Linked DNA regions of Tamandua tetradactyla. The protein of the gene in region 4 binds, or shares a complex with, the protein of the main gene of each other region. Links are inferred from orthologs where the notes say so. Each region holds a gene or a part of one and is shown on either strand. Other genes may lie near its edges. The genes, in order: YWHAG, KHDC3L, OOEP and NLRP5.

Region 1 (7,013 bases), on a different chromosome or scaffold from region 4:
AGTCAAGCCTAGTTCCTCTGCTCTGAAACCTCTGTCTCTTGAGAATGCATGGTCTGACTCTTTGTCTGAGACAGCGGCCCACTTTTTATGGTGACCCACATTCCCTTGGTGGGGTGAATTTTGAAGTTATCTCTTTTTTGTAGAATGGAAAACTTAGAATGTAAAGATGTATTAAACTGTTCATCTTTCCTTTCCCCAGCCCAATCAGTTTTAAGAGCTCTTAAACTCACATTTTTAGAGTGAGGCTCTGGAGTTAGAGAAGCCAATTTGGTGACAAGCAGTCAGCCCCAGGTGACTTGGAGCAGAGAATTTCCCTGTCAACAGGACCTTCAGGCAGCCACTGAAGAGGATGGGAAGACTCCAAGGCAGGACAGTTGGAAAGCTTTTGCAAGAGGCTGGAAGATATTAAGAAGTAGTCCTCCTGCTCTTTTTACAAATAGACTCATAACCTGACACCTGGAGAGGTAAAGTGACTTGCCCAGGACCATCCAGCAAGATCAATAGTAAAGTCGGGGCCCCTCCACTGCCCTGGAATAATCAGGAGGAGATACAGCCCACTGGCATTTCCCTGTCATCCTCTGCTTCTGAATTTGTCCTGTGCTCTGCCCCTGTTGCAGCCCAGCCTGTTAGGGCTATGATGGGGAGGTGTTCCCAGAGGGCAGGATGGAGCATTGCAGGTCTGCTTTGGAAAATGCTACTCCTGCTGCTGCTTCCGCACCAATCAGGGAGCTTTCCAGCCGCAGGAGGAAGCCAGGAGCCAGGGGATAGGGCTGCAGTGATTTATGAGTGCACAGAAACAGCAGGACACTAATGTACCTGGCTGGACTGCTTGTCTGCCAACTCAGCCAGAGAGGATGCACTTAAAGGTCATATTCTCCCTCATTGGAGATGGGGACAGAAGGTTAGCCATACAAGGTGCCTACCCAGTGTCCCTGCATTAGGACTGTCACCCGAGGGCAATGCCTCTCCTTTCCTGAGCAGATGCCATGGGGTAGATCCTCATGGCCCCGGCAGGAAGGGCAGCCTTGCTACTGGGAATCAGGAAGATCTGCCCTGGCTTGCATTCAGGCCCTGCCAAAGGTCACACAGCCCCTCTGAGTCTCAGTTTCTCTCTCTAAAAAACAGGGACAATTCTGAGTTTCTCTACCTTTGGAATTTGCCCCTCTCTCACATCTGCAGGCACAGACTCCTGTTACCACAGATAAAGAATTCTAGTAGCCTTCCATTTTATAAGAGGCACATGCTGAATCTAGAACCATGACTCATCCTGGATGGGTGGGGCCCTTAATGCTTTTTCAGTTTAATTTCTCACTTTAAAGGTGGGGAAATTGAGACATGGAGAAAGGACAGGCCTTGCACATGTTGCTGGGGACCAGGCAGAAGCCAGAATAGTAGTTCTCCACCTGTCTGCTCAGGTTTCTTTCAGCAGTACCAGGCAGTGGAGACGGAAGCCCAGATATTAAGCTATTCCCTGCGGGTAATGTCGCCCTGCCTCGGAGGCAGTCCTCTCAACAGCCAGAGGCTGCTGGGCTGCTGTAGCTTTAAACCCAGAGCCTCAAAAAAATCCAACAGGAAAGGAGGGGCAGGGCCAGTTCCCCCTGCACTGTTGGAGGGAAGCCTCGATGTAGAGACTGCAGATGTCATTCCTGTTTGGCTCTCGAACATCCTTTTCTTTGCATCTGCTTTACTTTTTCCAACTAGATTTGGCCTGAGCTTTTTTTTTTTTTTTTTTAAGCATATTGGTCTGGTGGGGGAAGGAACTGAGGGGAGAGGTCAGAGAGGCAGGGAGAAATGTGCCAGGAAGTTCCCAAGATTTAGCATCTGGGCCTGGACCAGTGACACATTTAATCCATCTGTGGACAACCAGGGTTGGGTGTAAGGGCTCATTTCCATGGGTTCGTGATGCCCAGACTACAGTGGTTCATGCCAGGCTGCAGGGGGGGGCAAAAGAAAGAGAGGAATGACTTGGTGAACCACTCATGCAAGAGACAGAAGGAAGTGGGAGGGTTTATTCACCAACAGGATTGCATTTTGCTGGGTTGGTGTGGTAAGGGAAGAGGGGCCAAGGCAGATGCTGTGTTGGAGGAGAGTCAGCTATTTTCTGAGTCTCTCTCTCCACTCAGTCCATCTCTTTACCCTCCTGACAGAGCAGTCTTCCTGAAGTGAATTCATTCATTCATTCATTTCCTTATTTCCTATGTCCCATGTGCTTACTAAGTGCCAAGTACTGTGCCAGGCACCGAGGAGTCAATGGTGATGAAGCCATCAAAATGCAGCTCTGATGGTTTTCTGCATCCATCTCAGGCATCCTATTTATTTCAGAATAAAGACTTAACTCCTTAGCCTGGCATTCAGGGCCCCTCAGGTTCTGACTCCTGGCTCCATCCCCAGCTTCACTGCCCATCACCTGAGTCACCAGACACATCAGATTCTTTGCCTGCCAATAAATATGCCAGGAAGGAACCTGCCTCTGAGTCTTGCTGCCTCTGCCCTCTGCCTGCTTTCAAATCCTACACATCCTTTAAGAGCTGGTCGGAAATGCTGCTTTTTAGAACCTCTTCCTACTCTTCCTATCCAGCCTGGAAGAATTTTTTATGAATACTTACAGTACTTAAGACATGCTGAATTTCTTGAAGGCAGGGTTCCATGCTCTCCTCTTCCAGCATCTAGCAGTGTCTGGAATATTCCTTCACAGAATCTCTTTCATTCTAGGTTCACATAACCCCGCACTTCATCTCCCTACTTTATGTTTCGCTTCGTATCACTTTCCAACATAGTCTACATATTGATTATTTATCTTGCCTGTTTTCTGTTTCCCCTTTAGAATGCTAAGTTCCATGTGGGCCAGGAGCTTAAACTGTTTTGTTCACTGCTGTACCCCATTGCTTAGGACAGTACTTGGTACATAGTGTGTGGTCAATAGATAGTTGTTGAATAAATGAAATAAAGAAAATTTGCAGTCAAAACTATGGAGTGTGTGGGAGCTACCCGGAATCTCAAAAAGGGAACCCTATGAGCTAGGATTTGTCGGTCTGACCTCAGCGTGTATGTCCAGACACAACCTAGTCCTAAGCATAGCCTAGGTAGGCTCTTGGTAACTGGCAGTGGAATCTGCAGCACTCCATCCTGGAGAGGAAGAAGGAGCCTCCAGGGGTCAACCTGCACACAGCTGCATCCTTTTTGTAACTTGACTGGTATGCCGGGCCAGTATTTGTCTTTCATGTTTTCACCATATTTTTACCGAGTCAGGCCCCAAAACCTCAGGGTGGGGATGGGGAGCTGGCTCCTTGGAGGAGGGGGTGACAGTCCCCCACGGTTTGGCCTCTTAATTCACCCATCCCGCGGGCAGATCCCACCCTGACGGTTTGGCTCTACGATGGAGGTACCCTCTCAACCTCCATGGCCTGCTGCTTCACCTCGGAAACAGGGCCCAGAGTTGAGGCCCTTGCCCCTTCCCTCGTAATTTCCCGGGGAATAGGGGGCGGGGCCGTGAATCAGCACTCACTCGGGCAGACGCAGCTCTCATTCCCGCCAGGGGTCCCCAGCGGCCGCCAGATTTAAGTCCCCTCCCCATCCTCCTCCGCCCGCGCGCTCCACCCGCTGGGAGATGTAGTCTCCATTGCCCCTTTGTCCTTGGTGGGTCCAAAAGATCACCCCGCCCGAGGGTGAACTACAACTCCCAGGGGCCCACGCGCTGGCGGCCCGGCGGGGCGGTGGTCTGGAGGGGAACGGGTGGGGGTGGGGGTGTCTGGTGGTGTTGGGGCGAAGGAACGGGGGTCAAGTGGAGGAAAAGAGGTGCTGGTGAGCTTCGAGGAAGGAGGGGACTGCCAGAAGAGGTGGGGGGTTGGGGCGGTGAGCTGAGTGGAGGGGGGACGCGGGAGCAGCGGAAGGAGCCGGGAGGGGCCTGGGCGGGGGCGCGCGGCGGGCGGAGCCCGTGCGTCACGCGGCGTGGGCGGGGCCGCAGGGGGTTGTCCGCCCGCGGCACGCACAGCCGCCGCAGCCGCCTCGCGCCGGGTCCCGCGGTCGCAGCTGGAGTCGCAGCCTCCGCGCCACCGCCGCCAAAGCTGGTCGCTTTGTGGGTCGGTCCTTCCGGCACACGGGCTCCCGCCGCGCCGCAGCCGCCCTCCGAGCCGTTCAGGCCGCCTTGGTCTCCTCGTCCGGCCCGACCCAGCCCGCGAAGATGGTGGACCGCGAGCAACTGGTGCAGAAAGCCCGGCTGGCTGAGCAGGCGGAGCGCTACGACGACATGGCCGCGGCCATGAAGAACGTGAGTTTCTTCTCCCCTCCCCCCGCCTCGCCCCAACCCTTTCGGAAACGTGTACCTTGGCCCTAAGGGCTCCGGGACCTGTCGCCTGTCGCGACTGCAGGCTCGGTCCCCCCTTCTCGCTCGCTGAGGGGGTATGTGGAGGGTCCAGATGGCGGTCGGGAGCTGGCTCGTGTCCTCTGCGCGTTCCCGAGGGTCGGAGGCGCTGCCTGCTCGGCCCTACCCGGGCTCAGGCTGGGGCGGGGTCTTGCGGGGCTGGTCACGGGAGCCGGGTCTCCGGGCCCCCGCGTACTCCGGGTCCGCTGGGGACCTGAGCGGGGCCGTGCGCATCCTTTGTGCCCCACTTCCCCTCCTCCCAGCCTAGGGCGTGGGGGCGGGGGACCGCATGGAAGCGGTTCCTCTTTCTCTCCCCGGTGTCTGGGCGGCGCCTTTCCCATTCACTCGGCAGGTCTCTTTTTCTAGCCGCCCCCCCCCGCCCCCCCGCTCCCTCCATCTTCCTCTTGCTTTCCTGCAGATCCTTTAGAACCTTTCCCAGAGAAATTCAGGCTCTCTTGAAATCTTGGGGTCAGTGGTGCAAAATCGTCGCCTTCTTGCTCATGTTTGACTTAACAAAAGGCTTCTCTTTCTCCATTTCCCAAAGCAAGTCCTCTAGGCTTTTAGGAAAGGGGACCGTCTGTTTCGTTAGCGTGTTCTTGTTAATTGTTCGAACATGCCGTTTCCATTTTTTCCTAATGCTTTGCATTGAAAAGAGCAGATAATGGCTTTAAAATAAAGGTTGTCAATTTGTGACATGCTGTTTTTTTTTAAAATACAGCCACGCGTCTGTTGAAATTCCTATAAGTTGAAAAAAATTCTTTCTGATCTGATACTGCAAACAAAGCGGTGGTGGGAGGCAGTATCAAGTCATTCCAGAAGATTCTGCATTTGTCATATTGCAGAGAGCCTAGACTGGGTGGAGGCTGGGAGGAGTTGTTTTAAAGGGGAAAATGTCTTTTTTTAATTTGCTTTGTTACATAGACTTGAGCCTTTTTTTTAATTTTAATTTTATTTTTTTTAAATAAAGCCAGTGCATCCTTAGGCTAATGAAAAGAGAATACTGTCCTCCAGTTGTCGCATTTTGTCTGGGATACAGATGCCTGCCTGTATTGCACCATTTTGTCAGTAACATTACATTTACCTAGTGAATGGTCAACCAGTTTAAGATTAAAGGAAGGAGGAAGCTTTGAACATTATTTGGAAAAAATTAATGATTTTGCGTCTCCCACTATCTTAATATTTAACTTCCCGTCTTATGTAACAAAGGTATTAAAATGCATCTCCAGTTTGAAATGAATGTAAGAGCGTACCTTGCATGCTAAATCTTTGTGATGAAACAATATAGATATAGAGGTTGATTCTTGAGTAACTACGTTAGTTCCCAGAAGATGACAGTGCTGATGCCTTTATATTTAAACAAGCTACATTAACAAAAAAAATTTTTTTTCTTATTAAGGAGGGGAATTCGATTCTGTGAATTGAGGGTTCTGGTGTATTAATATGCTATATTGCCACAGCTGCTATCCTGTAATATTTTAAAGCTCAAATGACACAAATTGCACTTTTAATAGATATCAGAATTGAAAATGTCTGTTCATGTTATTTAGATTATTTTAATTTTTCCATATCTCTAGTTTCACAGGAAAGCCAGTGACCTCGCACCTATATCCATAGCAACCCAGTGATGTCACACACAATGACACAGAGGCTGCAATGCACCTAAGGGCTGGTAGGGAGTTTGCAAATGGCATTTGTCCAAGGTAATGCAGAAATTAGTTGATAGTGGGATTGACTTCATCTTTCTCCAGATAAGAGCTCTGCAATAGAATGGCCCTGTGGGTCCAAAAATAATGAGGTATCCTTACATATGCACATTAGTGACCTCTAGATAATGCTTTATTGAAGTTCCTATCTAGTTTTCCCAGGAAAGTTTGTAAGATACATTCATATTTTTACACACTCATTTCACCTATTTAAGTAATTGGCCGATTATGGAATAAAAACAAATTTTAAAACGAGTATATTTTATAATTGTGTGGAGGGGGCTGCATACTTAGGATTATTACAGATACTTGGTAGATTTTGATAAAAACTCAGAATTATGGCTGTCCTCCTGGGTCATTAGATGATGAGACCACATTACAAACGAGTTATCAAATTCATTTTAGATGGATCTTTGGGAAAATTGTCTTGCTGTATTTTTACTTCTCTGACAGAGTATGGAGAAACTTAAAACCTTTTCAGTTATGGTGACTTTGACCCTCACTTTCCTAATCTGTAAAATGGGGCAATACCTGTTAGAAAAAGTTTGTGAGGATTTAGGTGCTCAAAAATGGCAATTACTTGCAAAACTTTGTTTCTTACTGTATAAAAGTGATCTCATCATGGAAAATTTGGAAAATACCATAAGGTACCAAGTAAATACTTAGTGGTACCACTCAAGTGATATATAGGTAGCCAAAAGGCTATCTTAATTATATATTTTATAAAATCTTTCTAGTGGGGTCAATAGGCTTTAAAATTCTTTTTATCTTTTTTCTATTTTTTTCTTCTAGCCCTCCCAGGAGACTAGATCAATGGCTATTATCATTAATGGAGTATTGACACCTCTAGAGTCCTCAGAGGTGGAATTTTGCCAACCATTATTCTAAGTCATGTGGCTTGAATTGTTCTCTCTTGGAGGAGTGGAAAGAATAGAGTAACAGTTTGCTTT
Region 2 (6,208 bases), on a different chromosome or scaffold from region 4:
CTCGCTCACCTCAAGCCTAAGGCAAGTTATGGTAACCCCGGCAAGACTTAATTAACGAAGTCAATGGGGCAGCCCTGGCTCTTTCGCCCACAATTTCACCCACCAGGTCAGGTGCCAGGGCTAGGAAGTTACTTGCCATACCATGGTACGCCCGGGTGGGTCTTCCCAGTCCAGCAGGGCCCCAGCCTCAGGGCAGAGATTGCAATCAGGTTTTTACCATTTCAAATTTCCTCGAGTAGAACCACGAGCTGCTGGGGGCAACTGGGACTTGGGTTTCACAGCAAGGACTGACTCAGTACACCCTAGAGGCCTTGTATCCAAGCAGCGCCAGCTGCATACTGTTAAAAATCACAAGCAGGAGAGGTGCATGACGGCAGAGGTGGCCAGGAACTAAAAGGTCGCACCTGCCTCTGATAGTGGCACAGAGCAGAACTTGAGTGCTGGGGGAGGGTACCTCCCCCTCTTCTTCTACCTTCTAATTAAAAGACGCTTAGGGAAATTTGATTCTTTATTAGAACTCTTTAGATTCGGGTTCGCAAACGTTCAACACTGGGGAGGTCACACCTACACCATTTCCCTAATTTCTAGGGCCGAAGCAGGACCTAGAATAACAGGTCTCAAGAACAGGCTTTCAGTTTAATTTTTGCTTGTCTCCCTTCCCGGGGCCGAGCTGCCATCACAATCTGGTAACTGAGTCTTGGGCAGGTGCCTTCTGAGGCTGCTGCTTCCCGATCTCCTGGGCGGCCGCTTCTCCAGACTGCTGCTTCCCGGCCTCCTCGGCAGGGGCCTTCTCTGGGCCTGGAAGACAAGCAGCATGAGGAGGGTGCCCCTACGCCCCCATTCCCCCTCCCCAAAAGTCCAGTCATCCATACGTGCAACGAAGACGGGAGCCGTGAGCTGTTCCTAATCTGGAGTCTACCACGGAATCTCAGAACTGGGGCCCAATTTGGTATTCCCGATTCCTTGCCAAGAGGAAATCCTCTCCCGGATCCAGTGGGAGGGGGAAACCGCTGTCTGGGCCGCGGGGGACTATCAAGATCCCTCCCAAGGAACCCAGAAAATGTCCGGGGCACCCCTCTCTGCTCCCCAGCCACGTACTTTGAGCCCGGAGTTGGCGGTGATAATCTGCTAAATTCATGACCAATCTGGCTACGTCGTGCTGGTAATAAGGCCGTCCAAATATCAAAATCTCGGCCTCGCCGCCGGGGTCCCACCGGTTCACGTGAAGCAGGGTCTGGCTCGCACACTCGACGTGCGGGATGTGCTCTCCGCCCCGGCCTGCGCAGGGAGCAGAGAAGCCGTGAGGAGCAGGGTGGCTCCTGGGGACTTGAGGGGAAGGGGGGCGAGGGAGACCATGGGGGCACAGGCTTGGGGGCCAAGAGCACTGGACGGGCTTTCCCAGGGCCGGGCCGGATTGTGTGTGTGTGTGGGGGGGAATGAATGGGGAGGAGGGCATTATGGCGGCCACACCCAAGCCTACTCACCGAAGATCTCTTCTACAAGCCAGGCCTCGACGTGAACTGCTCGTGGATTCTTCAGGAACTCAGGGTGGAACCAGTAGGGCGGGTTGCCGAAATTACCGAGCTGCTCGAAACGCTGTCCTTCTCCCTGCTCCAGCTGCACGAGCGTCGGAAATTGCTTGGGAGCAGCCATGCTGCGGCCGGCCTCGCGGGCAGCGAGCGCGGGAGGGAGAACCGAAGGGCAGCACTCGGGGATGGGCCGCGGAAGCTGAGCCTGGGCCTGGGCCTTAAATCAAGGGCTTTTGGCAAGCCCCTCCCCACCCCGCGCCCTTCCCATTGGACCCTAATTCCAGCAGCCCGTATCTTTCCGCGGCCGTGCGAGGGAGCTGGAGCGGCCCGCGGCGGCTGCGGCTGGCGTGCCTCAGGTCTCGGGCCGCGCGGGCTGGGAGCCCCGGAGCGGTCACGTGGTGAAGCTCGCCAGGTTCCGCGTGCGCTCTCCGTGGGGCCATTCGGTCTGGAAACTCGCCCTCTTCCCAGAGCCGCGGGAAAGGAAAGCCGAGCTGCGAGTTTTAGCAGCCAGCTGGAAGTTGCCAGCTGGAGCTGCGAGTTTTAGGAGCCAGCACAGGTCCCCACCTCGATTCTCAGGCGCACACGGTGGACATAACCGTGGACTCAGAAAGGTAGAGAAGAGCGAAAATGGAGAAAATATTTCAGAGTGAAGCAAAGTGGTATTTGTGGAGATCCGGTGCTACTCAGACAGTTCCCGTGGGATCAGCTCATTCCTGAGAGGTTGACATAATTTTATTGGAAAACCTAATTCAAGAAGCTGGAAAAAGCAAAAATTTAAGCAGTAAAAACAATGTCCAAAGGTTAAAGGCAAGTCTCCCTTTTCTCCTGAACCGTTGCCACCGAGTACCGGCCCCAGGGACCACCACTGTCCAGCTTCTCCAGTAACATTTAGAGACCAGTTGAGCACAGGTAAGCCTTAAATACGGCCACACAAACACCCAGTAGCAGACGGTCCAAGTAATTTGGACACCAGGAAGGTCGACTTGAAGCCTTTTTTGACACCTCAGTTCTCTAAATAACGCTAAATATTTCCATTTCTTGAGTTTCCTCTCCAGCTTAAGGCATTATCAGTTAACCACTCACTCAGGAAGGTGAAACTATAGCTCCGGAGTCAGTAGTTGGGAAGTACTTATCAGACCCAGTGGTGAGAGGTCATCAGAATTCAGAGGCCTCCTTCCTGTACTGTTGGTGGGAGTGCAGGAAAAGCTGTGGATGTTTTAGGGTCAGACTTAAGCAGAGACCTAAGTAGATAAGTATTTATACATAAATTCATTCAAACGATCACAGGATGGAGTGGTAGACTTCTGTGGGTAGGTGGAACAACTAGATGAGTGTACAATATAAACTCAAGGATCTGGGCTCAGTAACCACCTCCTCTGGAGGTGGTGAGGTAACACCAGCACTGCCATAGCAATTATAAATCGAAATTTGAGGTCCCATCGGTGTCACCAACACTCCAGGAAGCATCCCAGTGAAAATCTCTGATCAGATGCGTTTCTTTTACTATAAGGCTATAGGACTGATACCATTGTTTCACAGCATAGAGGATATTGGCAGTTCTAAACATGTTCAACTTTTTGTATGAATAAAGATCTTTCATGCCCTTAAAGTTTCAGTATTGAATATATAATATATAAGAATAAAAACGTAGTAATACTAATTGTGTTAAAAAGGAATCTGCCATTTAAATAAAATCCTAGAATATGCAAGCCTACAGGTGAGTGGTTGCCTGGGGTCAGGGATGGAAGGAGACATGGATTGAAAACCTCTGCACTAGGAAACTCTTATGGAAGATGGGAATGTGTGGTATCTCAACTGCTGTGATGGTTTCATGGTTGTATTTATATGTGTCAAAAATGATTAAATTGCACACTTCTTAATATGTGCTGTTAATTGTACTTCAGTTATACTTCAAAGCAGTTAAAAGAAAAGAAATCATACATATGATGTTTTATGTTCTTGTAATATTTTAGATAAGAAGGCTATTAAAGAGGCAGTGTTGCAACTCCAATTTAAAATATGCAGTTAAGTAGTTGATATAGATTTGTGGCTATAAGATGAAATCTTAATTTACAATTAGCATTGGACCGCTGAAGAGAACTTAAGGTCCACCACATTAATAATATTAATTTGATATGTAGGTATTATTTAGTAGTTGGGAAGGCCTTATTTGTTAATAGATATGAGCAAAGTACTTTGCAAAGCTCTTTGACATGTATGAAGATGTTTAGTTAAATTAGTCAGTAGAATCTGGTATCATTCAGAGGACATGAAAAGTAATTTTGAAACTTTCTAGATTTTTTAAAGAGAATATTTGAAAGTGAAACTTGAAAGCCTTAAGGAAGGGCTAAAGGTTTGGTTTTTATAATTTTTAGAAATCAAATATTTATTTTCAAAGAAGCCTCTAGATACATTTTCGGGTGCACAGAAACCACTCCCAGGGCATCAAAATACACACACACACATATTTATACTAATCTTTCATTCCCTTCCCCAGTTTACTTGCATACTTCAGATCGGGTATCCTCCCAATCTCATCACATCATGATTTTCTTAGATAAATATTCAGCGTTAACACTTTGTGAATATTATTCTTGGCAGCATATAAGTTATTGATTTTTTTTTTCTCTTGCACAAAATTTTGCTTTTCTTGCTGTTATTGATTGCCTTTTGGTTCAGATGCTGATTTTTTCTATGTACTCCTCCTTTATTTCCAAACTCTCTCCAACTGTATAAATTTCCCCTCAGTACTTTCAAGTACCTCTTGTCAGCATTACTTCTGCAATTTTCTTAACTGCTCCAATCCAAATTAGCTGCTCTCCAGGGCCAGCATTCTGGGGCCCTCCTGTGAATTCCCAAATCCTATCTTTGACTTGGATCCTGGGCTCAAATTCTCTAGTTTTTTTTCTGTGGAAGAATGCATAATTTTGAGTCCTTACATCTAGGAAAAAAATTTTTTCTATCCACATAGTTATTTGGACATTTAGCTGGCTATAAAATTCTGGGTTAGAAAAAGAAAATTCCCTCATAATTTAGTGCTTTGCTTCATTTTCTTCTAACTTCAGTGGTCATTATGGTCTTAATCTTTGGGAAATATTCTTGAATTATTTTGTTAATAGTTTTTTCTCCTTCTGTTTCCTCTTCTCTTTTTCTAGACTTCCTGTTATTCAAACATTGACCTTCTGATAGTCAATATGTTTCAGTGTTTTGAGAGGAGAGTTATATAGGGGGCAAGGGGGGAGATTGGAGTTGAATTAATGGTAATAGTGAGCTAAGCAAAGGTGAAACTTATTAACTCCAGAGAAAGCGAAAAGGTTTATCAGCATAGGAAAGTATTTATAGTATACTGCGTTGTTCAATTATGAATAATATTCATGTAAATACCCAATATTGTTTTAATCAAAATGACAACAAAACTACTGGAAGGATCAGTGATTTGGAAAAGATGGGTAAGGATGGTGGAGGAGATAGTTCTCCTCTTTACCTGTTGGAAGTTGAAAAATCAAGGGCTGGTAATCAAAGTATGTTACTTAGAGTACTGAATGGGAGTTTGGGGTAGAAGAGAATCTTCTTTTAACGGGTCTTGAAGGACTATTAAATCCTCATAAAAGCACGTATAACTTTTTCAAAAAAAGATTAAAAATTACCTATACCAAATTTAAAAAAGTTATGCCTGTGAGAAAGTTGGAAAGTTAATATTAGCTATCATTTCTTTGCTTTGAGCTAACTAAGTTACTGCAACAGCACTGTTTTTTACTTTTCAATAAAATTTTTAATGTTTCATTGAGAAAAAAAAACATTGGCCTTCTGGACTGATCCCCTATATGCTCTTTTTTCTTTTCTTTTCCATTTGTTTCCTTTATGCTGTCTTGGTTGTCTGGTAATCATTAAGACTTGGGAACTAAAAAGCTAATTGGATCAGAGTGATGCCCCAATAAATCCCAGAGTGATCTGAACAGTGAATAAAAATGTATTTGCAAAGTCCCCTTCAGGGAATGGTGAGAAAGGGGGAAAATTCAACTTCCCCAAGTTGAATTCTTGATATTCTCACAAGCCGTGTGGACAACCAAAGCTATAGCTGAGCTCCCAGTCTTGGGGTTTGTTCATATGAAACTTAACCCCACAAAGGATAGGTCAAGCCTACATAAAATTAGGCCTAAGACCCTAGAATGAGCTGAGACTTAGCATCAAGGGATTGAGAAAACCTTCTCGACCAAAAGGGGGAAGAGTGAAATGAGACAAAGTGGCAATGGCTGAGAGATTCCAAACAGAGTTGAGAGGTTATCCTGGAGGTTATCCTTACGCATTAAGTAGGTATCACCTTGTTATTCAAGATGTAATGGAGAGGAGTCAAGATAGTGGCTTAGCAATGTGCGCGTTTTAGTTTGTCCTCCAGAACAACTACTAAATAACCAGAAACAGTACAGAACAGCTCCCGGAGCCACATCAGTGACCAAACACACAGCGTACCCCAGTCTGGACCAGCTGGACCGGCTGCAAGCCTCCCCAAAACCATGAGTTCCCCAAGCCACGGCGCCTGGCGTCCGTCCCCCACAGGTGGCTTCCCAGAGGAAAAGGAAAGAGATTCTAAACCTGGTCAAGTGGCGTTCGCTCATTGGGCTCACAGAAAAAGGAAAGGGGGAGGAAACAGGTTTTAGTGGCTGTGTTTCTACGGAGAC
Region 3 (6,798 bases), on a different chromosome or scaffold from region 4:
AGACAGCCTCTCAGGTGCTTGGGTAACAGGTGTGAGAAGGAGAGAGGTGAGGGAGGTCAGGGGGTGACTGATACTTAGAATAGCTAAGTTAGGATCTGAAGTTGTTGCCCACCCACCCCTTGCAAACACAGAGCTGTTTTTCTCTGCAATCCCAAAGCTGCAAGATTATTTTTAAGATAGTCAGGACAGGAAAGGGAGGGGGTATAGGCGTGCAAGTAAACCTGGCAGCTTGGTCAAAAAAAAAAAACAAAAAACAAGACCAGTCTTGTTCACCAAAACAGACTGGCCATTTGTGAGGTCATCTGCCCCTGCATCTTTGTCCCCTGGGTTTGAGGGCCTGACCATAACCATAAAGCCATAAAAGTTCCAAAATGGAAGGAAAAAACAAGAAAAAAAAAGACACTGCTTAGCTTTCTACCTAAACCTAGAAATGAACCGAGTCAGTCTTTTATAAATTGGAGTAACTTTAAGTGATCAAAGATCTTTGGCCATTGGACAAAAAAAGCAAGGAAATTCATTTCTTTATTGGAAGAACACAAACTCACATTTGCACCAAAATAATCAAACTATTATTCACTGAGACACAGGAGACTGGAATGAAAGTTGAACGATACTTGTTTTCCTTCAACTTTAGTAGCAGAAGGCTGGCTCACAATACTCCTGAGGATACTCATTCTGTCTTAAGCAACAGGATGCTGGGTAGTCTGGGCGCCTGATGCATGAGACTTTAAGAAGTCCTCAAGTCGTTTCATCTTCTCAGCTGGAGGAAAAACAATTGATGCCGACCACCAGTTTGGAAAAGTGCTTGCTGTTTTAGACTGTACTGTACTTGTTAATAGGTGGCAGTAAGGGAAGGTGCTGGCAACACCGTTTCTCGGGGTGGAGACATGAACCGGGATCTGGGAATGGTGATGGAGTCCACCTGTAGTTGGCTTGGGCAGCGACGGGCTCCCAATTACGCCAGACCTCTGCTTACCTTTCCGAGACCCTACCCCGGGCTCCCTCCCAAAGCGATCCCCAGCAGCTGGGTACAGCTTCTTGGGGCTTGGAAACTCTGAAGAGTTACTTTCAGAAGAGAGGCCGGAAGAAGCCAGGCAAGTCCAGAAAGGAGATACGTGGCTCTCTCCACATGCAGGTTCGCCCAGACCCTCACCTCTGAAACGACGTTCCCGGTGTAACGCTGCCAGACCCAGGAGAATGCTCTTCACCCGGTTCCGTACCCGCGGCCGGCCGAAGACGGTGATTTCGGCGAGGCCCTCCGAGTCTACTGTGTCCACCATCAGCAGAGCCTGGCTCATCCACTCAATCTTCGCAATGGTTGCTCTGTCTGCGCCTAAACAGGGAAGGAGAGACTGTGAGCCGCGGGGCAGTCGCGGGTTTGGCGGCGCTAGATAAGAAGGGAATGTTGCTGGGCCGAGGGAACAGCTGGGGGCTGGTGTCCTTGGGCTGGCGCCAGACGCGCGCAGGCGAGTCCGAGAAGGCGGCCGCAGGGTTGCTCTGCAGTCCGCTCTCCAGCTGTGGGGGCTAGCCTAGGAGCAAACCCCCGGTCACCCACCGAAGATCGGGTCCACCAGCCATGCCTCCAGGTGGAACACCAGCGGGTCCTTCAGGTCCTCCACGGGAAACCACCACGGTCGGACGCGAATCCGTGGCACCGGGAGTAATAACCTGGGCAGGCTGCTGTGGGACGCCGCAGGCACCTGCTTGTCATCCTGGGCCTCAGCAGGACGGGCCTCCGCAGCGCGGACCCCGGCAGCGTCAGCGTCGTCCACCATGCTCAGGACGGTGCGGCCCTCAGGAGAGTCCAGACCCCAGCGAAGCCCACGCCCCCTCATCCTGCATTAAGGTTCCTGACCAGCCCCGCCCCTTCCGGCAGAGCTCACGCCCCCCGCCCCCCATCCCTGACCTCCGGATTTAGCTGCCACGTGGAGGTTGGTGCTCCCACCTGGGCGCCCTGAGGCGCCTCCTGCTCTGTGTCAATCACTCAGGCTTCACTTCGGCCTTCAACAAGAATTTATTTGAACTCCAAACATGTCTCCCTTGCTCTTCATTGTCGGCCCCACCTAGTAAGGTATCACATAGCCTCAAAGGTCCCTGCCCCAGCATGTAACTCATTAACAATACGAGGTGGAACTGGCGACCTTGTTGACCTGGAATCACCTTTATCGCCAAGGTTAAGGTCTCCACCTTGCCCTCCAGACGTAGGTAGGTAGATCAGGTGGATGGAAGCAGGTTCCTTGAATCTGTAAAATCTCTCCTCTCAGCCCCCATTATCTTCTGACTCTTTCCAGAGGGTTACTATCTCGAAATCATTCAAGCAAAACTGTGTCATGTTTTAAATAAAATGTCAGAGGTAGTCATTATAGAAAACGTAGCTGGTGTGGACAAATACCGTTTACTCCCACCATCCTAAGACACAACTTCTACAGATGACACTTCTCTCCAGTATTCTCAATTTTAATTAAATTTTAAATTGTGAAAGGTTTTACATATGCACAAAGTAATAGAACACCCATTTACCACCGCCACGCCCAAATTTAACGTATGTCAAAATTCTCCCACATTTGCCTCTCTTTAAAATTATTATCATGAAGGAATCTTCCCTTTCCCTCTCTAGTGGAAATCATTGTTGTAAATGCACAATGATTTCCCAATAGTTCTATTTTTGGAGGACTTTCAATTACTAAGTAAACTGCTTTGGAGGATATTTCAGAACTTCCTTACCCAAATGAAAACAACTCTGAACAAATTATAAATTGCATAAGTTTATCTGCAGATTCTCTGCTTTAGCACCTAAATCAATTACCATACGATACAATTTTTACCTATTCACCCCACAGTAGAAACTGTACTGAAGTATGGTCACATTATGCCATCTTCCAGTTAATAGAATCATTTATTGTATTACCTCCAAGAATATAATTTTTATTATGTGTCAAAATTACCAGCTCAACATGGGGCACTCATTCAGTGTTTACTGATTCACAGGTACATGAATTAGTGTCCAGCTTCTACCTCCTCCTTAAGCGGATGGAATTATTTAATAAAAGTTTGATTCAGGACAATTAACCCTTTACACATATTTATGATTTAGGTTAAGTTATAGACTAGTGTGGAAAAAAACTATAATGACAGGGAGCCTACACACTCAATTCAAAATTTAATTTTTTCCTTCCTTAAATACCATGCATTTGATTAGACATGAGGCAGCTATTTTGTTTTCAATAGCCACATTTAGGGATACATTCATAGGACTGGTTAGATAGTCCAGGCAAAATGGTTATAGTGTCATCCCAGAAAATTCATTTACATATCAAAATCTATTTTGATATCTGGAATTTTATAAAAAGAGTGAAGTTCCTCAAACTAATGCCTTCTGTTACTCAAGCACTCTTCTCTTGGCAAGAGGAAGCTGAAGCTTATCCATGAAAGTTAAAGGTGTTTAATATGAAACCTTTCTTCTGAGCTTAGATTTGGGCTGCTTAAGAAATTGATGCTTGAAAAACAGCATGGTCTTTGTAGATTTTTTCTGTTTTAAGATTAGAACTCTATATATTCACTCATCAACTACCTTCCTTTTCTGTATTCTTGGCACTCGATAAGACTGTTTATTATACTTTCACATTCTCAAATAAGAATTTAGGATTATAAATGTGCACAAACATTTTGTAAATAGTATGTTTGGAGAGATGAGACTTTCATACCAGAATTTTACAAAAGAGAATATACGTTATGAATCAACCTTTCTTTTGAAGTAAAGTGAGAAAAAATTCAAGGCCTGTGCACGTTATAAAATCTAATGGGGGACAGGCCATGGTGGCTCAGCAGGCAGAGTTCTCGCCTGCTATGCCAGAGACCCAGGTTCGATTCCTGGTGCCTGCTCTTGCAAAAAAAAAAAAAAATCTAATGGGACATTGTAATGGAACATCAGCATTGGCGGTCTAAAAAATTTTAAGTATTAAAGATGGGATTATGGGAGGAAAAGATAAAAAAAATTTTAGTTTCCCATCTTACAAAAATTTATCAACCCATCAAAGCCACTTGTCTACGTGCCAGAAAATATTCTGGTATAAGTCAATTCTTTCAGTAGAGGAGGTCATTGTGACATGTGCATTATTAACACTTCCAGACTTCTACTTTTCCAAGCATAGAAGCAGTATGTTTAACATTTCCACTCTTCCCCAAATCTTTAAACTCAACATTGTTGGCCGAGTGTAATCAAATCTGGGATGCTCTGCAACAGATAAGTAATAGCACAGCTATGTTCTCAAAAATACTGCCTTGATATTCTTTGTAATAATCAAACACTCAGTGGCCACAGATTTAGCAGCCAACATTAGCTAACATTAAATGACTTTTTTTGTGTGTGTCACAAGTCTATCTAAACTTCCTTTTAAGTCCTTTTTAATATATTTAAGAGAAAACACCTGCTTCAGTTTTAATTAAGGGCACTAACCCACAAGGACATAAGCTCCATTTTTTAACAATGCTGACTACAACTACTGATGGGGTTCACTGAAGAAAAAGGACAGAAGGAAAAAAAGGTAAATCACAACAAACCTCTTAGGTCAGTTAAAGGCCATATCTCTAACTGGGATATTAAAATAAATTAATCACACCAGCCCACATTCTAAAAGTTAATGCCACTAGTAACAATCAACAACAGGAAAAATAAACCTGATAACAGCCAGCCCACGCATTAGCAAAAAGCAGTTTAACTCAAATACTGTGACCGAAGTGTAAACACTTCCTAACCGAACTGCCCCATCCACCTCAACCACCAGCAAGGAAGAGAGGAAAAACTGCTTAAAGAAACAACCACAAAAGCTTACGTATTTCTTACAAAGACAATAATGGTCCAGCTCATGAGACAGTGCTCAGAAAGACTAAAGGGGGATGAAAGCAATGTTTAGGGATTAGGATCCCACAAATAATCTTTAAAAACCCAAAGTATCACAAACACACTAACTTGTCTATGAATTAGAGAACAAAATTTTGGTGCTGCTTCTTTTTTGTCTTTTGAATATACAATATTTTGTAGGCTTTGCCCTTCAATGTGAAAGCTAAAAATTTTGAAATTATGTGACACCCCAATCTTTGGGACCATATATCTTAACTGTGAAACTAAACATACCTATGTAAGAATTCGAGAGTTTTGCCACGCAAAGGAGGACTCCAAGAGACGTTCTCTCATGCAACATGCAAGGGGTTTATTTACCACACATGTGTGGGGCTCACTGAACACGCAGGAACAGAGAGCCCCGAGCCTGGGTTTGGGGAAGTTTTTAAGGGGTAGGAGGAGGGGGGTGAGGGTCGAGCATGGGTCACGAGTGCTGCTTCATGCAAGAAGCAGATAACAAACACTTTTGCAAGAAGCAGATAACAAACATTGTTGCAAGAAGCAGATAACCGCCCCTGGGAAGTTCCGGGTTGTTTTTCTTAGCCTGATGGGGCCCATAATTCTTTTCTTTACAATTCTTATCTCACACCAAATGCATAGCAGTGAATATAGAATGACACAAATGCTTTTGCTGGATATTTCTATCATTCAGAAGCTAAAATATATGTAAATAGCTAAATTAAGCAGGAAAAATTAGCTACTGTTAAGCTTATAAAATCCTTCTTTACATAAGAAAAGTTAGCTACTGTTAAGCTTTATAAAATCCTTCTTTACACCTATACCTTCTCCTTCCTTCAATGAAACCACCTCACAAAAGTCAGAAAACTAAAACAATCCACACATGACCTTGAAAATATTAAAACTTTAAGAGAAAAAGGGAGGAGAGAGACAAAAAGTAAGGAGGGGAGAAGCTTTAAAAGAAAGAAGGGGGAAAAACCAATGAGACTCTTTTATTTGGCAAAAGGAAGTGCAAGAAAGTTCATTTGTAATTTGCTCAGTTATCTGTTTTTTGCACATCTGCATTCTGGCTAGAGGAACTTTGAGGTTTTTCTGCCGCACATGAGTGTCTGCGGGTTCTATCGTCTTATAATAGTTCTTCTTTGTCTCAGTAATCTCAAAGCCAAACTTCCTGCAGCAGTCAATTGCCGACTCATTACTGATCTGGACTTATAGATACATGTTGTCAAAAGTGCCATCTTTTTCACAGATGTTTAAGACATGATATAACATTTTAGTGTCTATTCCTAGCCCCAGTAAGGTGCGAGACATCCTGGTGTCATCATGTAAAGTCTCTTCTGATTCTGTGAATGATCCACCCTCCAGCACACTGCAGCTACTGCAATATCAGTGAAATAGGCAAGTTTTGCTAGCTCTCCAACCTCCAGCACATCCTCGTAGAACTTGTCATTGTAGATGACTGGAAACATGACTTAGTTTGATCTCTTCAACTGTTTAATATTGTGTGGTGTCACATCTCCCAGTTGATCCGCCTACCTTGCATCTTCTCCACCTACAGAGGCCCTCGTTAGCACTGATATCAATGCCTTCGTCACCACTGCCCTGAGCTCTTCGTGCCCTCAGCTCAGACCACTCAACCCCACAGTCAGTTTACTTTCCAGGGGCAGGGAGCAGGTGACAGGGGCTGCGAGAGTCAAGTGTGGCCCTGTGCCTCTGGAGAGGGCAGAGATGTCTCCCACCACTGCTTCTCCCTCTAGTGTCTTCTTGATCTCCTTTATGTCATTAGTCATCCCATTGATTTTATTTATAAAATAAATAAAAAGAGTTGTATGAACATCTTTGATTAGTTGTTCCAAAGTCTGTGTCTCCTCCAGTGTCTTAATTTGGTCATTAAGCTGAGCTGTATCTGTCTGCATTTTCATATGTTTGGTTATCTTCTG
Region 4 (7,986 bases):
AGTTTAGAGGTAGCACTCACTGGACAATTGTTATGGACTGAACAACCACCTCGAGAAGATAATAGCTATTTCCTGCATCCTCCCATTTTTTTCTTTCTACCCCAGATCATGTCCTACTCCAATGAATTGTTATTAACATTATCGTAGCAGATGGCAGTTAGCACAGCCAGTTAGACCAGTGCACTCATAGTCCCGAGGCTATAAGTACAGATTCTACATAGATAATTCAATGAGAGGGAATATATTTCTATGGTTACAGGTACCACAGGCTCCCAGATCAGAGTAACAGCTCCAAGTTGAAGTTCAGATATGTCCCTTTGGACAAGTGACTGAACCTCTCTGAGTTTCCTTTTCTGGAAAATTGGAACTAGAGTACCTAAATTTCCGAGGGTTTCTGTGAGGTTAACAAGCAAAGCATTCAGCTAAAGGACTGGTGTAGGGCACGCATGCGAATTTTAACCATAATCTGGTCTACTAATCACATTCTGGAAGCAAGACTCCAAGTGAAGGAGTATTCTAGGTAAAAGGGTGCTCAGATTTAAGCTGCTGCTGGGGTCACATTGAGATTTTAGAATTAATTGTTTAAGTTTCTGTGTCTGTGGGTGAGGCTCTTTCAACGATTGGATTAAGCAGTTAAAGAAAGATTATTTAAAAGTGAATGAATTTAAGATTGCCATATAGAAACACTTTTACATACACACAAATTGAATAAATGTTGCCACCAAACAATTCACTGAAGAGGTTAGAGGAAAAATAGCAGAACGATGAAATAATAAGAGCGAAACCTCAGTGGTAGGTCAAGAAATCAGTATGTTCTGAGGAGAGTTCGTTTATTTTTAGGATTAGATGGTTGAGAAACTTCCTTACACAGAACTAAGAATAAATAAAAGTTGGAGGCTAAAGAGAAAGAACAAAGAACATTTCTAAGTAACCGTCTGAAGTGACTTACATCATCTCATCTAATCCTCACATAAACATTGAGATATAAAGAGTGTTATTGACCCCACTCGACAGAGTTGAAAGCCAACATTCTGGGAAGCTATATACTTGCTCTCTGTTTCATGAGAACACCTTTAAAGAATAGTTACCTGATTTTAGCATTCTTTCTTTCCCATTCCATCACAGAGCAGGAACTGACTGAAAAACTCTAAGGACACGTGGATCTAATTAGAACCCAGGTGGTGGCATTACCTTAAAATAGACACTTCCTCTTGTGAAATCTGGCAGGGTGGAGTGAAGGACATTATTCCAACCCAGGAATGATGTAGGTTGGAGTGATATAAATTAGAATTGGGTAGTCAAGTTTACCTTCTGAGGACAAATGACTTACCAAAGCTTTCACTTTGCCTCTTTCCTTCCTTCTTCTATACTTCCTATCTCTCCTGGTACATCTGTCTCCACAGGTGTCTTGAATGGTTCACTAGAAGCAGGCAAGATTAAAGTGCTTGAAATCAATTAGATCTAGGTTCGAATATTGATTCCACCACTTATTACCCCAGGAAAGACATTTAGTTTATCCACCACTGGGGTTCCTCACTTAATAAAAGGAAAGATACCCCCATGTTGCATAGCCCCTCAGTAATGGTGAATCAAGTTGACCAGTTACCATTAGCACGATTGATACAGTAACACCCTCAGTCCCGGGATTATCTGTTCTTGACCTGAGTTATAGCACCCCTACTTTGCCCTCCATTTCAGACTTAGAGTCTGGAAAGGGTGAAGGGCTTACCCAGATTCCCACAAACTCATGTATTTCAAAGGTGGACCTTTTGAGCACAATGGGGAAACGGGACTTCACTCATTCAAAGGGGTCTTTGAACCCCTGTCTCTGAGTAGCCTAACAGGAGGCACAGGGGCATGTTACAGGGCCCAATAAGTAGGCTGTAATCAGCAATGAAAAAAATAGGGGGGAACGAAAGGCATTGGGAACAAGAGAGGAGAAAGTACCCACCGACTGGATTCTTCACCTCCAAGCTCAAATCCCACTTCTGGGCCAACTGGCAATCTTGGGTGGGAAAAAAAAGGTTAGGCCCAGCCCCACACCCACGTGGTGAGGGTCAGTAGGGAATCCTGAGCCAGTGACGTCATCTCTGGTCATTGGATGCAACGGGCTCCAAATGGCCATGCTCAGAGTAGAAGTAGAACACCTGCTTTCTGCACCTGCAGGCTCTGAGTCTTCCTATCCGCCTCTCCCACCCCTCACCCCACTTGGTGGTGAGGACACTCCTTGTACACTTCATACACCTGTGCCCAGGACCTCTGGCTGCATACAGCCCTCCCCTGGTTGTCCTGGGAGCAATAATTCTGTGTGTGTGAGTGCGCGCGCACGTATGGTGGTGGTGGGGGTTCTTTATATTACAATAAATCGGCTTTTACTAACCATTCCCTCGAATTATTACTGCTGTTGTTTGTCCAAGCTATTATCTACATAAAACTCTCTTATCTTCAGTCCCCATGAACTCCTAACCCTGACTTTTACTTCTGGTCTGTTTGGCTCATTTATGCCTCCCGTTCTTCAGTATCAGCTTTCCTCACGGTCCTGACTCTGAACCAGTCCTCTTAGATTATACCACCCTTGATGTTGATGTTCCCCTCGAGCACATGCTGATGCTTCCCAAATGGCTTCTGGCAGGTGCCTTCTCAGCTCCAGACCCAGTCTTCCAATTATCACCTACGGCCTGCGGTGGGATGCTCCACGTGCATGTAAAACTCAACATATCCAATTCAAAATGTTAAGTTCCAGTGCCCAATACAGGTCTGGTACACAGCATGCATTCTTGTTTGTTATCCAATGAGTGTCTCCGCCTACATTCTCTCCTTCTCAATTCCCCACCTCAGGTATCAGAAACACTATCCACGTGTGCTGAAGTCTGCACGTTAATGCTTAACTCAGAGGGGAGTTCGTTGTAGTCCTAATTTTAATCAGTCACTAAGTCCTGTCAATCATTTCATTAAATATATTTGTTACAACCTGAAATTGGAATTACCTGGGTAATTCATGATTGCTGCTTTAAATTGGAGAGATAGAAAAAAGTATAAATGAGAAATCAATATCACTCCTTCTCAGTATATATACAAAAACATACACGTATATAGTCCCCTAACCTTATGACATATATGCATGTGTATGTGTGTTCATAAATAGATACATTATCAATCAATATCATAATCTTACAGAATTGGAATAGTGGAGTACACAATATTAGTTATTCTTTTTCTTTTGGCATGGGCAGGCACTGGGAATCAAACCCAGGTCTCCAGCATGACAGGCGGGAACTCTGCCTGATAAGCCACCATGGCCTGCCCTAGTTTTCATTTTATAAATAACTTTCTTACTGACAATAGTCTAAAATGACTAAATGATGTGTATAATATCTTACCGTTGGTTTTACTAATTAGCATAATTATCTTCTCATAGTTGTACCTTTAGATTGTTTTAATTTTGCCACTGTTATAATGTTGAATGGAGATCCTTGTATGTAAATATTTATCCCCTTTTAGTCTGACTTCATCAAGACAAATTCTTAGAGTGGAATTAATAGATCAATTGGTGTGAAACAACAAAAATTTATTTTCCACCATAAAAGAAATATTTATATAATCTCTTTTGAAAAATTATATATTTTTTCTCTAAGCTAAGAAATTATATACAATTATATATAACAGCTTAGCTTAGAGAAAACCATTCTCAAAATTTTGTTATATTTCTTTGATGCATTTATGCCATATCTAACTTTCACTTTATTAGATTCAGTCATATGGAATGTACACAAATGAATGTGCTGGCTAAAAAAATCTACTTATTTTGTATTATAAATATAACCAAAGCTCATTGTGGATAAGTTGGAGATTGCATCATCCTGAGATTGCCATATGAACATTTTAAGTTAACTTTTATCACTATATAATTGCATCAGAAACGTGTGGGCATCACAAGTTATGTAAAGCTTGATGAATTATAAATTACCACAAGATGAAGAAGTAGAGTATGACTGTTATCTCAAAAGCCCTGCTCATGCCCCCTCATGGAAACTACTTCTGCACTTCTCAAAAGATAGCCTCTAGGGTGGCCCAGGTGGCTCAGTGCAGCATTCTCGCCCGCCATGCTGGAGACCTGGGTTTGATTCCTGGTGCCTGCCCACGTAAAAGAAAAAAAAAAGATAACCTCTATCCTGATTTCCAATCACACAGAATAATTTTACCTGTTTTTGAAGTCAGATAAATGGAACTGTAGGGTGCATTCTTTTGTACCTGCCTGTTGAGCCTGTGAAGTTAATCCACACCGATGTGCATTGCAGCGTTTCATTCATTTTCATTGCCGGATAGTATTCAATTGTGTGAACGACCACCATCATTTTGTATATCATATGGCTGATGGACATTTGGATTGTTTCCACTTCTTGTATAATATGGATAATGCTCCTAATAGCATTCTCATACATGTCATTTGGTAAACATATTTATGCATACCTGTTGAATATATAGTAGGAGCTTAATTGCTAGGTCCGAGGGCACAGATGTTTTCAATCCGTTTCATCCTCACAGTTTTTCGAAGTAGCTGCTCCAATTTATACTTCCAAGGGCAAAATATGGGGGCTCCAATTATTCCACACTCTTGCCAACATTTGCTGTGGACAGTCTTTCCAATTTCACTCATTTTGGTGGCTGTGTAGTGGTTTTGACTTGCTTTACCTGATGGTTGGTGGGGCTGAGTAGTTTTTATTGGACATGTGGATATTCTCTCAAGGAAACTGTTTATTCAAGTCTTGCATTCATTTTTCTATTGGGTTGTCTGCCTTTCTGTTATTAATTTGTAGGAGTTATACATATTTATTTTGAATACAACTCAAGGATATATACTGAAAATATATATATTTTTCTCAATCTGTAACTTACCTTTTCTGGTGAATGCGTTTTTTTTTTTGGAAAGGAAATATTTTCTTTCCTTAGGTCACAAACATCTTCTGCTATGTTAACTTTTAGAAGGTATAATGTCTTTCCTTTTGTATTTACATTTACAATATTCTTGGAATTGCTTTTGTATGTGGTGTGAGATAGAGATTCAGACTTGTTTTTTCTGCGTGTTTGTCCATTTGATTTAGCATCATTTGTTGAAAATTCCATCCTTTCCCCAGTCCTCTGCAATGTCAACTTGCCATAAATCAAGTGGTCATGTTTATGGAGATCTGTTTATGAACATGGCCTCATTGATGATAGTGGACCAGGATGAGGTTCTATAGAACGTCCAAAGAGCTCAAGATTCTTTTGGATGATAATGTAAACATAAGCAAAAGAGTTAATATAGACTTTCAAGCAAGATAGTGTATATACACTTCTGTCCTTCCCAAGTCAATGTGAACTACTTCTGATCCTCTTCCTGACATTTCTGGTAAGACTGGAAGGAGTGCTTTCGCCATACCAAATCCCATGGCTCTTTTGACCTATTTAAGACGGCACAGCTGGCACAGCAACTGCAATTGGGGCTTCCACTTAGTTAAGCTTAACAGGAGCCCACTGAGCCCAGGACTCACCTGGTCAATTAAGTAGGGATGTAACAGGGACCACCTCCCCTGGATCCTTGACGTCTTGAGGGCGGCACTGATTTCTGGCATTCCACCTGAGATGCTGTCTTTGCCTGGGGGGGTTAGTTTCCAGGGCTTCTGCTGGGCCTTTCTCTACCATTATGGCCTTTACTCCAGAGGTCAGGGAGCCGATGGAATGACCATCTCCGTTACACACTCAGGGGCCGTGAAGGTGACCCTCTTCAGACCCCCTGGACCTACTGTGCCAAGGCCTGATTTATCCCCTGGTGTCCACATGCCTCCATCCAACCTGGGGCTTTGATGGTACCCTCTGTCTCATGATGACGGTGTTGACTCAAATGCTATATCCAGTAGTCCTTGAATGCCCTGACTATTCTATTCCCAGTGGGTTAGCCTAGTGGATGGCCATGTGGAAATCACTGTTGTTCACACTTGATGTGGTCTGCAGGGTCTGCCTCAAGGGGCCCTTCTATCAGTGGCTTTGGGTCTGGGGACTATATGGAAATCTGTTGAGAGACAATGGTTTTCACAGAGCTGCAGCTCTGGCACGAGGCTTCTGCTCACCCAGTCCTATATCTTCTTTGGTAGTTGCCCACCTACTTCACCCTAGCAACACTACAATCTCTTTGCCACCACCAAGAAGGGTGTCTGATTCTGTAAGTATGTCTGGCTACCATTCTGGCCACTTTGCCCAAAATGATAATTCCATCTACCTGGCCTCTACTAAATCATGCTCTTACCATTCCCTTGCTGCCAGGAAGCCTGTTTCAAAGGTTCCCAAACCTCACCGCAGAATGGAATCAGCTGAGCAAGCCAAGAAACCCCTATGCCTAAGCCACACCCCATTCCACTTAGGTTGCCTCTCTGAGGCTGGGAACCAGGCAAAGGTATTTTAAAGAGCCAGGTGTAATACAATACGCCACAAAGGGTAGGAAGCACTATCCTACTTCTAGCTCTTCTCGTGATGCCAGGAACTCCGTCACTGGTAAATTCCCTTAGTGCCCTCACAAAGCAAGTGACTCAGGGCCCTTTTGGGGAGTACAGTCAGTGGTTGGGTTCTCTGGATTTACACAACAGCAAGCCCACCTCTGAACCTGCTGATTTCAGATAAGGAAGTTCTGACACCTCTACCTTGCTCACTGTGGACCATCTCAGCAGAGCACTAAGGTCAGCTCCAGGTGAACTTGCCCAGATGTAAGTTGTGTATCACAGAGTCTGACCTTGATGAACCTTTATTTTCATCCACATCTTAAGAATAGGGTGGGGGAAGGGATGGTGAGGATCTCAACTGCTCTACCTTCTAAAACAAAGCCCCTTCAGAGAGTTGAGAAACCAGTATGGATAATATCTGACCATTACCCTGTGTGTAAAAGGACTGTTGTTTAAAAAGAAAAGAAAATGGGATTGCTTTCTGGTCCTTTGAGTTCTAAATGCTGTCCTAACTACTTTAGAATGCTCTCCCCACCAATCTACAGGTAAATGAATAACACTTGAAAAGTTTGTAAGTTGCATTTACATACATTTTCAGCTGAATTCTTCCAAGCCCCCCCTGGAATAGAGACAGTTCTTAGAGATGTTTCCATCATATATTCAAAGACATCTAGTGGTCAGGGGCAGGGGGAGCCTGGTGGATTGGAACTCTCCCTACCTGGGTCCCCTGAATCCAATGACCAACGGCCGTCTAACACGTGTCCCTCAATTCCAAGGGGGCTCTTTGGGGGTCATGACCAAACCATTTTCCAGAACTAACTCCAAGCCTCAGAAGGGTCCACAGAATAGGCAACCTTTCCAAATTTTTCTTTAGGAAAACAGTGTCCAGGGGGTCAGAAGATCAGTCCATTTATAGTATCTTATAGTAGCGCCCATAGTCCCAATTTTGTATTATCCTCAGGGAGTGTTTTCTCACTTCTGGACCCTCCAACCTTGTCAGCATATCCACTTCATGTCTCTCTTTCATCTCCCTGGAAAGGATAAAACCAATTTTTTTCTCTTACATTTATTTTATTTTATTTTTCTGTAGTCTTAGAAGAGTATCCAAAACCTGTGGATGGAAATTTCCCACATAGGAGACCAGCCTGGTCCCCTGGAGAAGACTGAAACCAATGATTCAGTTCTCAGGAGCTCAGGTATGGAGTCAAATGCTTTGTTCAGCCACTCACTAGTTGTAGGAGGTGGCCTCTGAGATGGCCCCAAGGCCCTAGCCTCCTGCTATTCATATCTTTGTGTGTTCCTTCTCTCAACTGAGTCAGGGTTTTATGTGTGACCAACAGAACAAGGCAGAAATTATGGGATGTCACCATCAAGATTAAGTAATGAAAGACTGGGGCTCTGTTTTGGGCTCTCTCTCCCCCTCTTCTTCTACCTTCCTTTCCCTTTCTTTTGGATCACTTGTTCTGGAGTAATCCAGCGTAATATCATGAGCAGTTCTGTGGAGATTAACTGA

Evidence for each region.
Region 1: the proteins of NLRP5 (region 4) and YWHAG are in contact, whole or in part, in a cryo-EM structure (PDB 8XI3), measured with the Mus musculus proteins. The link is inferred for Tamandua tetradactyla from reciprocal best matches to the Homo sapiens genes NLRP5 and YWHAG. Residues at the interface, in NP_035990.1 of Mus musculus: Ser1030, Cys1031, Ser1055, Gln1058, Cys1059, Pro1060, Val1061, Glu1084, Phe1087, Val1088, Lys1089; in NP_061359.2 of Mus musculus: Phe201, Tyr216, Thr220, Met223, Gln224, Arg227, Asp228, Thr231, Ser235.
Region 2: NLRP5 (region 4) and KHDC3L share a complex: the UniProt entries of both Homo sapiens proteins name them as parts of the subcortical maternal complex. The link is inferred for Tamandua tetradactyla from reciprocal best matches to the Homo sapiens genes NLRP5 and KHDC3L.
Region 3: the proteins of NLRP5 (region 4) and OOEP are in contact, whole or in part, in a cryo-EM structure (PDB 8H93), measured with the Mus musculus proteins. The link is inferred for Tamandua tetradactyla from reciprocal best matches to the Homo sapiens genes NLRP5 and OOEP. Residues at the interface, in NP_035990.1 of Mus musculus: Glu173, Leu176, Leu195, His196, Gly202, Leu206, Asn322, Leu325, Glu326, Tyr337, Ile338, Leu339, Val340, Glu341, Gly342, Leu343, Ser344, Ala345, Ser346, His373, Asn625, Gln626, Asp652, Ser655, Glu661, Leu662, Cys663, Pro664; in NP_080756.1 of Mus musculus: Ser26, Leu27, Arg28, Leu29, Arg30, Thr31, Arg32, Ile38, Val41, Asn43, Tyr48, Met49, Leu75, Leu86, Glu88, Pro95, Thr99, Lys102.

What each region holds. Positions count from the first base shown.
Region 1 is NC_135349.1:10,369,593-10,376,605, forward strand, and holds the start of YWHAG (14-3-3 protein gamma), read left to right. Parts: upstream 1-3,992; 5' UTR 3,993-4,180; coding exon 4,181-4,267; intron 4,268-7,013. UniProt on the Homo sapiens protein: Adapter protein implicated in the regulation of a large spectrum of both general and specialized signaling pathways. Binds to a large number of partners, usually by recognition of a phosphoserine or phosphothreonine motif.
Region 2 is NC_135331.1:129,253,437-129,259,644, reverse strand, and holds KHDC3L (KH domain-containing protein 3), read right to left. Parts: upstream 1,858-6,208; 5' UTR 1,654-1,857; coding exon 1,485-1,653; intron 1,279-1,484; coding exon 1,099-1,278; intron 799-1,098; coding exon 677-798; 3' UTR 516-676; downstream 1-515. UniProt on the Homo sapiens protein: Component of the subcortical maternal complex (SCMC), a multiprotein complex that plays a key role in early embryonic development.
Region 3 is NC_135331.1:129,285,193-129,291,990, forward strand, and holds OOEP (oocyte-expressed protein homolog), read right to left. Parts: upstream 1,849-6,798; 5' UTR 1,836-1,848; coding exon 1,556-1,835; intron 1,334-1,555; coding exon 1,154-1,333; intron 761-1,153; coding exon 681-760; 3' UTR 505-680; downstream 1-504. UniProt on the Homo sapiens protein: Component of the subcortical maternal complex (SCMC), a multiprotein complex that plays a key role in early embryonic development.
Region 4 is NC_135342.1:3,519,145-3,527,130, forward strand, and holds the start of NLRP5 (NACHT, LRR and PYD domains-containing protein 5), read right to left. Parts: upstream 3,001-7,986; coding exon 2,988-3,000; intron 2,006-2,987; coding exon 1,952-2,005; intron 1-1,951. UniProt on the Homo sapiens protein: Component of the subcortical maternal complex (SCMC), a multiprotein complex that plays a key role in early embryonic development.